Solanum lycopersicum: one gene and its partners. The main gene of each other region encodes a partner of the protein of the gene in region 2 in a complex. Links are inferred from orthologs where the notes say so. Each region holds a gene or a part of one and is shown on either strand. Other genes may lie near its edges.

Region 1 (4,344 bases), on a different chromosome or scaffold from region 2:
AGTGACTTAAGGAACCACAAAACTCCTTAGGTTGCTTCATGTAAATTTCTTCGTCCAACTCTCCATTTAAAAAATTGCTTTCACATTCATTTGATGGATTTCAAGATCATATACCGCAACTAATGCAAGTAGCATCAAAATGAATGTAATTCTAGTTACTAGCGAGTATGTGTCAAAATAATCAAGGCTTTTTTTGTCTAAAACCCTTGACGACAAGTCTTGTATATTAGTTTTCAATAGTTCCATAAGCTTTCATTTTTTTATTGAAGATCCATTTTGAACCAAAAAGTTTGTTTCCCGGAAGAAGATCAACCAACTCCTATGTATTGCTCAAGATTAAATAAATCTCATTATAGACAACCCATTACCAAAAGAATGAGTCTACAAAGAAAAAACTTCTTTGAATGTTTGAGCCTCATATTCAAGAAGAAATGTTACCAAATCATATGCAAAGAAAGTAATGTTCTTTGATGTTTACTATGTCTTGAAATCTATTTATTAAGTCCAGTCACCTTTGATTCTTCTTGAGGTCGTTAAAACCCTTTATAAACAACTTAAGTCTAATTCTACCAATGAACTCAACATTATCTGATTCAATTACCGTTTACCATGAATATTTGAATGTTCGAACTTATGAACCAAAAATCGACACACTTTATTGTTTGTAAAATATTCAATGATTCACTTCAGCCAAATAGTGGCACCTTAAAATTTGTTGAATCTTGAACTCACAGTAAATGACACTTGATTTTTTGCAAAAAAAAAAGTTATAACTTCAAAAATTTAGTACTTGATGTGTATTAGTTAGTATGTTAATATCTAAGTAAATATTAAATATTTATAGCTATCAAAAACTGCTTCAAGAAAAATTCAATGGTTCAAAAAATGCAATACCAATTCGTATCGGTGCTGCATCGGCGACCATTGACGTAAAATTGTATATCACCCTTCAAGCACCATTTCAAACCAGGACAACAATGAGATGTTTCTTTTCAACCAGCGTTGGATCGGTGAAACATTGATGTATAATTATACAACAATACGATACAAACTAATGTGTTGAAGAGATACATATCTTCTAGCGATATCGCCGATGCAAAAAAATGTGTCTCGCATGTAAGAAAGGATATAGGGGCAAAACTTTTACTCAAAAGTGATCTTTCAATAGATCATTTTTTAAAACTAAAATCAAACCCAAATTCAAATCTGATGCCGAATTGAACTAGCAATTCAAAATGTAACTATATTAGATCTTATTCATAACAAGTAATACATAATATTTGATTGAAAATAAACACATATATATATTATTACATAATACAAGAAAAGTATTGTTAATATGAAGAAAAACAAAGCAAGTAGAAGGGTACAATTAAATCCTTTCCAATTAATATAGTAGTATAAATGTAAAATTTGGAAATGAATATTATATTTATTTAGGTATGAAAAGCACATGCATGTGGAGGTGATAAAAGTTAAAGTGAATACCTCCAACAGAAAATATGATAGAACCTTATCTTGAGAGTAGAATAAAAAGCGTGAGAGAGACGAGCAAATTGTAAAACAGGCAAATAGAGCAGGTCACGCTCCTAAATTACGCGTGAGGATCATCTCTAATTGGCGTGCAGAAATTTGGTATAACACCAACTAACATTAACAGGTCCCAACTTTTCTTTAACACAGAGAGAGAATTTTTCATTACTCTCCAAACAAACCCCTCTCTCTCTTTCTCCTTCGATAACCCTAAATTTTTCTCTCCTTTTTTTTTTATTAATCACATCAGGTACTTTCTTCAGAGTTTCTCATGTTTTTGTTAAATATATTTGTTTTCTTATTGGTTGTTTGCTGAATGTGTTTGGTTCCAGATCTGTTACTCAAGTTTGTGATTGTTGATTGTTTTTGTGAAATTTTGTTTCTCTTTGCTGGGTAGTATATATATTTTGGGTATTGTTCGTGATGAGGTGTTTTGACTGTTACGAGTTGGTTGCTGGTTATCTCTGGTTTGTTTCCTTGCTGAATATGGGCAATGTGAAGAACTAGGACACTAGTAATTTCCAAATGCTCATTGCGTCTGTGAATGATTTTAGTATTTCTTGTTGGGATAGCTGATTTTAGCATTAGCACCATTTTAGTGTTGCAGATTCTAGTTTCAACACTGATGCATGTGCTGATTTATAGAAGTCTCAGACATTTTTGTTGTTATTGAGAGAAAGGTCTCTTTGGGGGGTTAGAATAGCTTAAGTTTTTTTATTTCTTCTTTTTTATTAACAAAAGAGGTAGGCGGGAGCAAAGTTAGTTAGGTAAGAGAAAGTGCAGTTAGTTTTACCATGACCAGAATAATATCATTAGATGTGAGAGGTAAAGAACTTCACAAAAGGATGGTGATTAAGGGAGGTTTTGAAAGGATGATTTTTCTACTGTGCTTTCTAAAAGATAATAAAGGATCAAGTAACAGATGCAAAAGTTTGAAGAGTGTGGAGTAACAAATAGGTAGGGTGGACCAATCTTGAATCCAAAAGGGTAGCATGGGAAATCTTTGTGGTTTGGGACATTGGGGTTTAAATAGGTAAGTATACATACTCTAAGAAAGGAAAGAGAATCAAAATACATAATTACAGGAGTAAATCAAGCTATACTATATTTACAAGATCATATTTTATCATATTTATGAGAATCTTACAATTCTTTTTAATGTGATCTAATCTTTCCTCTGTTTTAGTTTGTGTCTTAGTTTGACTAGGAGTAGACACGGAGTTTAATGATGTAATTTGTCAATTTTGTGGTTTTAAACTAGGATGCATATAACATTTTAAAAATATCCTCTGAATCTTGTGATCATAAGTATATCATGTCATTTCCATAAGGGAGTGTCATTAAGGTTGAAGTAGGAATATTGAAATTAAAAGCTCACTAACATAGAGATGTGTCATTCTTTTTTAAACAAACTAAGTAGGATACTTAAAAGAAAAGTAATGCAAAAATGGAGGGAGTAAGGTTTTGTGTTTGGTGTGGTTGTGTGTAAATGACTATGTAGTTTCACGTGTGTTTGTGTTTCTGACTTTCTGTTGAAATTTTGGTAACTTAAATGTTCTCTAAAATTTTTTAGTGTGGAATTTGAATTGCCTGTTCCTAAGATGCTGGATACAAGGGTAATCAATATTTTAGGAAAATGTTTGTCTCTCATTTTAGAGACCTAAACTGCAGAGATGTATCACTTATGAAACTTAACATCTTATTGTCACAGGGAGGGGTTGCTGCCACATCCTTATTTGGCTATCATTGATGGATTTATAAAGGTGAGAATGTCCACTTAATCTCATGTCCTGGGAGTTATCTACCTACCACCTAAGCATGAGAAACTGCATTAGGATAAAGTTGTATTTTTGTTTTGGTATCTGTAGATTCCTTGTTTAAATCCTTTCCAGACCTCCATGGTATTTTGAGTATAAAAGAATAGTCATAATGATTCTTGTATTTACTCTTCAATTCTTGGTTCCCTTTTTTTTGTTTCAGGATATGTATATATACCATTTCTTGGCCCTAGGCTCGCAATCTTAGCCATGGGAAGATGGGAAACTAGGTCTTCTGGCCTACATCCAATTTAACTTCCTATTCTGATTTCTTTTTTTTTTCACACATTTCATGGTGGTTAGCTTTATAGGTTTCAACGTGAATGTTTTAGTCTTATGGTTTCAATATGTTTAAAATTTTTGGTATTGGTGTAGTTCGGAATATATAGATGATCCTGTAGCAATTGTAGACATCTTAGAATCCTTGTAAGATGATATAGGACCTAGAGATAGGTTTCTTTTTTTGGGTTGTTGAGCCTACTTAGTTGTATGTAGCTTTGTGATCTAAATTTTTGGGATCCCAGCCTTAATGCGGATGATTATATACAAACTTGTTACTTTTGTAAAAAAAAAAAATCTCTATAAGACTAAATTGAGGATGAAGCTCGTAAAATCCATGTATGTTATAGTAGTTGTTTTCTATAATATTTGAGGTTACCCTCCTTAAAAAAAGTGAACCATGGTGCATAAAATTAAGAAATGATGCTCAATAAATTAAGGGATTTATTAGAGCATACAAAGATAAGTATAGTTAATTGAGACTAACTTTCCTACTTATGTTATTATTTTTTTATGAAGTACATTTTGTAGATGGCATGAAGAATATGCAGAAATACAAAAAGAGTTAACAAAGAAAAGTCTGCTTAATATAAAAGAGATTAGACCAGAACTAGGGAACAAGAAAAGCCCAAAAAGTGATTTATGCATATTGATGATATCATCTATGAAATGTACTTCATAAAAAAACCATAAGTAGGGAAGTCATTGTCAATTA
Region 2 (3,024 bases):
TATCTTGAATCTCACACGACTACCTGGACGTGTTGAAATAATGACTTGCACACAATCTTCATTGTGGAATACATTAATTTATTAGCACATATTTCTACAAGGATATCTTTGTCTTTGGTTACAAGTATAAAAATGATGCCAACGTTTTCAAAGATCCAACCGCAGTTATCAATGTACCAATTACCTGGAAGGAATATTAGGCAGCATGCAGTTATCCTAGAATTTATGTATTCTGGTGTTCACAATGCTTTTTATCTACACTACTTTACTTCCCTAGTTATAGTCACACCTATCAGCAATTACCTTACTGTTGTCCCTGGAAACGATGTAGCGTTGGCTATGAGTCAGATTAAGTAGTCATCTGCTCCATTGGTGCTCTGTTGTTACACAAGTTTGAAAAAAAATAAAATGAAGTAACATCAATTTGAGTAATGTTACCAGTATATATAAAGAAGTAACATCAATATGAGCTGATATTTCTTTTCTGATGAACTACTTGTGCTACAGAATTCTGGACATATGTGGAGAAATCGTTTACTTGGACGGATCTTCCTTCCAAGTTTCCCACAAAATATGTACAGTTTCCAGTGAGTAACTCTTGTTAATTCTCTCCTTCCCTGCCTTCTTTCTTCTGAAAGTTTGGTTGGAGGATTTTTTCTTGCTGTAACCTTCTTTTTGTCCTTTCAGTTGTTAATAGCTTCTGTCCATAACAACTACGTTGACTGTAACAGATGGCTTGGTGATTTTATCTTGTCCAAGGTGAATATATTGACCTGCTTTCTACCTGAATTCTTTTTTTTTACCGTTCTTCTATATGAGCTTATTAGAAAAGAACTGTTCTATTGTATGAATTATTGGTTGGCTTTATCTTTCTTACCGGGAGATATTTACTCTTCTGATTTCGTCGAGGGGAAATCAGAGCAAATCTGGGAACCTCTGGAAAAGCAAAGAATAGCTTTCTTTCTTAACCATGAGCTGTCAACCTCAAGTTGAAAATTACTTGTTAATGGATTGAGGATATCTTCTCGTCTTTTACATGGTCTTCTCATATTTTACTTGTACTGATCCTTAAATTTTGTTGGAAATACTCAAGAGTGTTGACAATGAAATTCTATTATGGGAACCAAAGATGAAAGAACAATCTGCTGGAGAGGTTAGTTGGTCATGTTTGAACCATTTTTTTAATAATTATTTTCTAAAATTGGAAAATTTCCTAATGTATATTGCTCTACATTTAGGGCACCAGTGACGTCCTCCAAAAGTATCCTGTGCCGGAGTGTGATATATGGTTTATTAAGCTTTCATTTGATTATCACTACAAAACAGCAGCTATAGGTAATTCTAAGTGTTAAATCAAAATCTTGAATGTGCTTACTGAGTTTTCTCAACAGTTTTTCTGTTAGTGTACTGTTCACTGGATAATGCTCAAATTTGGAATCAAATGTTACTGCTTGTGTAACCCCCCACCCCCACCCCAAAAAAAAAAAAAAAATCTGGGGTTGCTGAGTGTGGCATGAAGTCATTTGTAACCCAGAGGCTGTCAAGATTATCTAATATTATCCCAAGTAAAATATAAACGAAAAGTTTTTAGGTCCATTTGTTGCATGCATGCTAGATTACTCATAGTATGTTTTGACCCAAGCTTGTTCTGGAATTCACCCGTTGACCTTATGTCTAACAGGAAATAGAGAAGGCAAGATCTTTGTCTGGGAAGTACAAACAAGCCCGCCAACTTTGATTGCAAAGTTAATGTCTATCCATCCCCCTCCCTAGTTTCTGATCCTTCTCGTTGATGTTTTGGATTTAAAGTGTTTGTGCTTAACTTTTGCAGGCTGTCTCATGTTCAATCTAAACAACCAATTAGACAGACTGCCATGTCTTTTGATGGAAGGTTAAGATCCAAAATCACTTTTTAACTGCTTCTGGTGTATGTTTTTGATATATCTTTCACTAACCGATTGTCTTTTTTCTTCAGCACCATACTTAGCTGTTGTGAAGATGGGACTATATGGCGCTGGGATGTGGTAGCAACAACTTTTTGAGTTTGAATGTACTATTATGAAGGATCGAAAGTATATCTAAACATGCAAACACACCTGTAAATTCTGCTTAACTTTATCTCTGACCTCTTTCTTGTGAGACTATCTCGATGTGCCAGTGAATCGAACTTGTACTATTAGTGCTGGACATATGGAGGTCGATGATCTGGGAAGGTTGATAGGACGTCAAACTTGTCTAGTTATCGTTTTTAGCATTATTACTATGACTCCCCTTTTATCTTGTTCTTCGTATTATTTCGATTGACAAAAATACCTTTGTAAAAGAAAGAAGGAAAAACAATCACTCTGTATTTGGGAGTTTTCTTTTGCATAAGTTATTTTGGTTTGTACTTGATTAACTTATTAATACTTTGATGTTTACCAAAATATGTACATAAGTGTATACAAACCAATTTGACCAATTTATATTCATAGCGTACCTAATTTTATCTCAGAAAGAAAGGCAGTGGTAATGCCAAAAATGATGCTCAAATTTGTCCAACAAAATGATTTTCCATATCACTGAAAGCAAAATAGCAAAATGTGTAAGAATCAAGAAACCCTTAAATGACAAAAATCAACGATGTGCTTAATTTGGCCAAACATAATGATCTTCCATAATGATGGCAAAATACAATTCAATATCAAGAAACCCTAACATAAGTGGGTGATGAAATTCTTTTTTTGGTTTTGCCCGATCATACATCAATACAAAATTTACTATGCAACTGAGGTTTCTTTCTTCTACTACATTTTCTCGCTGTGCTACATGCTCAACATATTTTGGATAGTACATATGTACAAAAAGAATGGAAAGCCTGTATGATTCTTTAACTATAGTAACATAACATACTACCAAAAATGACTTACAGGGGAGGACAAACAAATTAAACTTGAGTTCGCAATTGCATCAATAATTTCTGCATGTTCTCCAGTTTCTGACTCAGCTCTTTAACGTCATCGAGAGAAGATGTTGAATTAGCTA
Region 3 (4,296 bases), about 57 Mb from region 2:
TAAACAAACATGTTCAGTTAGTGTGAAGAAGAATGAATAAGAAAGAAAAGATTGCTGGAAAAATATACCAAACGCAATTTCATAAAATTTAATTTTGTTTCTCGTTGAGGTAGAAACGATGATTTGAAATGGGTGAACATGATTTGAGCGGGTGGGTTTTTATTGTGTCCAATTCGGTCGGGTGGATATGGTGGAAGGTGAGATATTTTAAAAGTCACATGACATTTTCTTAAATTTAAGCCAAAAACATGAACTTTTAATCAACAAAAATTAATCTATTAAGTAAAAGGACATATATGAGTCATTTCTATAACAAAAAGAGGATTATAATTTATAAGTATAACATTAATGTTTCAAAAGGTGAAAAAATATGTAATTATAAAGGAAAAATGTTTAAACGTGTCATTGAACTTTGGAAAAAAGACTTATTTATGTCATTTATTAAATTTTTATCATTTGAGAACAGACTCATTTATGCAATTATTTTTTAACTTCAATTTTGAAAAATTATTTTTTACACATGACCAGTTTTAACTCAGTCATGTCATTAATTTTATTTTTTTAAATGTCAAAATTCAAAAATCATTTGTGGAGTTAAAAAATCCGCCCTTGTTAGAAAGATATTAAAAAAAACACTAGTTCTAAAATTTCAAAATCCTGCTTTGGTTCTTGTTCTGTTGCTATTTTTGATACTAGATCTTTGCTACATTGTGTTTGTTTAGTCCATAATCAAATTTACAAGTGATTTTAAGTTGCGGAGAAAATTTTACCATTAAAGAATGGTGTAGCTTTATAATTTTGAAGAAATTTCAAGTGAGTCTTGTTCTGTTAAGTTAAATTCGAGATTAAAAAAATATTGAATTTTGGTATCTAGCTCGGAGGGAAGCTACTCTTAAATTTTGAGCCGATTTCCTTAAGAATTGATGAAGTTAAAATTTAGGAGTTCGTGGTATTCTTCTTATGTTCTTGGTGAAAATAAAATTATAAAAAGAACATTTGATCTAGAACCCCAATTAAAAAATTATTTGGAATTTTGTTGAGATAATCGAAATTAAAAAATAATAACACAAATAAATATTTTTCAAACAACTATATCATAACTTAATTAAACTTTTAACGGAGGTTAATTATGAATAATTAACAAAGATATGAATATTATTACTAATCTCATAAAAAGAAAGGATTAATGAAGATATGAATAATGATCGCCCATAACTACAAAAAAATATTATTTACAACATGTGCTACTTTATATCATCTAACATTCTATCTTTATATTCATGGAGCATCTTTTTTTTTTAAAAAAATAATATTTGTCCTATAGTTAGTGGCTTACGTATCGTAATCAATAGCCCATATTATTATTATTATTATTATTATTATTATTATTATTATTGTTGTTGTTGTTGTTTTTACGATAAATATAATATTTATTTTTTGTCCTACAAATCTGCAGCTCTTGTAAGTTGTAACCAACCACTAGATGACCCCACTACCTCTCTCTCTATCACTACTGCTTCGGGTACCGAAAAGCCCACGTTGAAGACCCCATGGATTCCTCCATTTTCACCCCAATTTTAATCTCCTTCTCCTTTTTCTGCTATTTCATTCTCTCTCCATCAAACTGATCGATCACCAATACCTTTTTCTCTTCAATATTTGCTCTAAATTATCACATCTCTGCTGTTTCAGCTGCAAAATTGGTTTGTTTTGGAACTGCATCCATGGATTTTTCTTCCTTTGAAGGTAACAATGGTGAATCATACAATTTCATGAGTGTTATTTGGTTTTTGTCAGATAAAGTCAAATCAAGTTTCAATAATTGATCGGAGAAATTAATTGGGATAGAGGAAGTAACTTGTTAAATTTTCTGATCTGTTTATTTTTCATCCTGTTAATGTGTTATTGATAACGAAATGGTGTTGATCCCATCTCTTTTTTTTTCTTTTTTATGTAATTGATTTTTATTATCTCTTTGCATATTATATAGTATGAAATGAAATTTAGTTACTGTTTTATACGTACAAAAAATATAGTTTTTTATTCTTTTTCACATTGTGATTTTTTTTTTGGTTTACTGAAATGGGTGTTAGGATTGGTGGTTGGTTACCTACTTTAGTTACCTACTCTTCTGGGGTATGTATTAGTTATTATTATATTTGGAGGATGACAATGATGCCATTTTTTCTTTGCCTACTGTGTTGTGATCCTTCACATTTTACAATTTAGAAAAGGAGGATTACCTATAAGGACAGTTGAATTATGGAGGTTATTACTACCCTATGATGACACAATCATATTATAAGATCTGTTTGGAATTAATCATGGAAATTGAGTGCTACTATTAGGTGAAGTCAAACTAGAAATAGCTAAAGAATTTACCTTTTCTGTTTTTTTTTCTATGCTTTTACAAATGATCTTTCTGATTCTTTTCCTTCCTCTTAGGCAGTTACCCGTGTGGAAAAAAGGATTTTGTTTTTCAGTTTTTGTGGGAAGAGGATATATCTGTGAGAAGACTGTCGAAAATTTATAGGGAGAGGAACAATCTCCAGCAGATTGTCATCGGTGTAGAGAAACATATTATTAGAAGGCCATTAGAGTCTTTTAGAGAATGCTTATGAAATAATGATTTGACATGAAATGTATAAATGGGGAAGATATATAATCAATGGATATTTGACAAGTATTAAAACAATGAGAGTAGATATGGAGGAATTGTGTAACCGGATTTTGCACCAACTTACAACAATAACACATACCCAATGTTCCCAAAGGTAAGGTCTAGGGGAGGTGGAAGTTGGGAAGGTGGGATGCATACAGACCTTACCTCTACCTTAGCGAGGTGGAGAGGTTGTTTCTGCTTAACCCTTGGCTGAAGTTGAAAAAAATGCATGTATAAGAGACTTCTTGAGAATAACAACAACTTATCCAAACTTTTATTTATTTTTTTACACTAGAGATATGGTTTGAACTTATAGTTTAACTTATAATTATAGATGCACTAACCATTTTTTATACAAGATGATGTTCTATGTTCATGTATTTGCTGATAATGTTGAGCCAATTATTATAATTATAAGAATAATAATTACTATTAATATAACCTAGTGAGCTAGTAAAAAGTTGGAATTATGGATACTTGCTCAAAAGGGGAGAGTCCTCAGTCAAGTAGAAGTAGGGTAAAATATATGCACTATGTAAGTATAGTACTATAAGAACAATGATGTTGAGATGAGATTAGGTCAGATTGTGACATTTAAGATGCAGACATCTTAGATATATAAGTTTGGTCATCAGGAGAATGCCATGAACCAGTGGTGTTACATATCAAAACTAAAACATGATGTAAATTGTTCTCTTGATAAAAAGAATCAAACTACAAACATGATGCTTGATACGGAGGAATGGTATGAAGGTGCGATTTGAATGGAAGATGTCTAACAAAGTGAAAGACAAGTTTGATAGACAATTGTGAGACAAGGTGTTATATAAGACTCAATGTAGGAATTTTAAGGCCCTACCACATCCTCAAAAAGGAGCACCGTAAAAATGTAAATATATGATGGATGTTCAGTCATCAGAAATGATCACATGTAACAAAAGGTTGAAAGTAGAACACGCATAGGATTAGGATGTTGTTCTTAGATGGTTTGATCATGTTTACTGAGAACTCCTAATGAACTCATCCCATTTTTTTAGAATATCACAAAGTGCACATATCACTCATAAGGGATATCCTTCAGGGTGGCTCAAATGGTTTGGCTTAGCACTTCCATAATGGAGGTCTCAAGTTTGAAACCCCTTGCTAGCGATAGCAGGGGATTGGTATTTTGGATCAGGCTCGTCACACGGGGCTTGCCTAGTGCGGTAGACCTCTCATGTGTGATTTGTGAGTTATTGCACATGAGTAGGGTTTAGCATGTGTACATGCGACGGGTAGTGGCTGAAGGTTTCCTTGTCATAAAACAAATATAATATGTAGTGGATATATAGGAGGGTGCCTGACATAGTTTGATCACCCTACTTAGACCGCCAAATGCACCAAGTCTATAGAAGCAACATTATGATAATTGAAGGTGTTAAACGAGCACGGACTACACTTAAATCACATGGAGGGACATTGTTTCTAAATATGTATGATATTTTGAAGTCAATGAGGGCTTGGCTTAGGATTTGGAACGAATGTCCTTCAACTTATCAAATGAAATTTTGTTATGAGCAGAATACGGTAGAAGCAAATGACTCATATAGGTAATACCAAATAATTTGGAACTTCGGGTTAATGTTAAGCAGTAG

Evidence for each region.
Region 1: FIE (region 2) and VIN3-like protein 1 share a complex: the UniProt entries of both Arabidopsis thaliana proteins name them as parts of the plant homeodomain / polycomb repressive complex. The link is inferred for Solanum lycopersicum from reciprocal best matches to the Arabidopsis thaliana genes FIE and VRN5.
Region 3: FIE (region 2) and VIN3 share a complex: the UniProt entries of both Arabidopsis thaliana proteins name them as parts of the plant homeodomain / polycomb repressive complex. The link is inferred for Solanum lycopersicum from reciprocal best matches to the Arabidopsis thaliana genes FIE and VEL1.

What each region holds. Positions count from the first base shown.
Region 1 is NC_090804.1:22,642,064-22,646,407, forward strand, and holds the start of VIN3-like protein 1, read left to right. Parts: upstream 1-1,502; 5' UTR 1,503-1,783; intron 1,784-3,244; 5' UTR 3,245-3,296; intron 3,297-3,513; exon of another isoform or gene 3,514-3,580; intron 3,581-4,344. UniProt on the Arabidopsis thaliana protein: Involved in both the vernalization and photoperiod pathways by regulating expression of the related floral repressors FLOWERING LOCUS C (FLC) and FLOWERING LOCUS M (FLM).
Region 2 is NC_090806.1:68,819,832-68,822,855, reverse strand, and holds the end of FIE (fertilization-independent endosperm protein), read left to right. Parts: intron 1-507; coding exon 508-587; intron 588-687; coding exon 688-759; intron 760-1,093; coding exon 1,094-1,153; intron 1,154-1,238; coding exon 1,239-1,335; intron 1,336-1,681; coding exon 1,682-1,745; intron 1,746-1,831; coding exon 1,832-1,891; intron 1,892-1,975; coding exon 1,976-2,042; 3' UTR 2,043-2,462; downstream 2,463-3,024. Other genes in the region: uncharacterized protein, read right to left, coding at 2,927-3,024. UniProt on the Arabidopsis thaliana protein: Polycomb group (PcG) protein. PcG proteins act by forming multiprotein complexes, which are required to maintain the transcriptionally repressive state of homeotic genes throughout development.
Region 3 is NC_090806.1:12,265,539-12,269,834, forward strand, and holds the start of VIN3 (vernalization insensitive 3), read left to right. Parts: upstream 1-1,490; 5' UTR 1,491-1,724; coding exon 1,725-1,746; intron 1,747-4,296. UniProt on the Arabidopsis thaliana protein: Maybe involved in both the vernalization and photoperiod pathways by regulating gene expression. Binds preferentially to dimethylated histone H3 'Lys-9' (H3K9me2).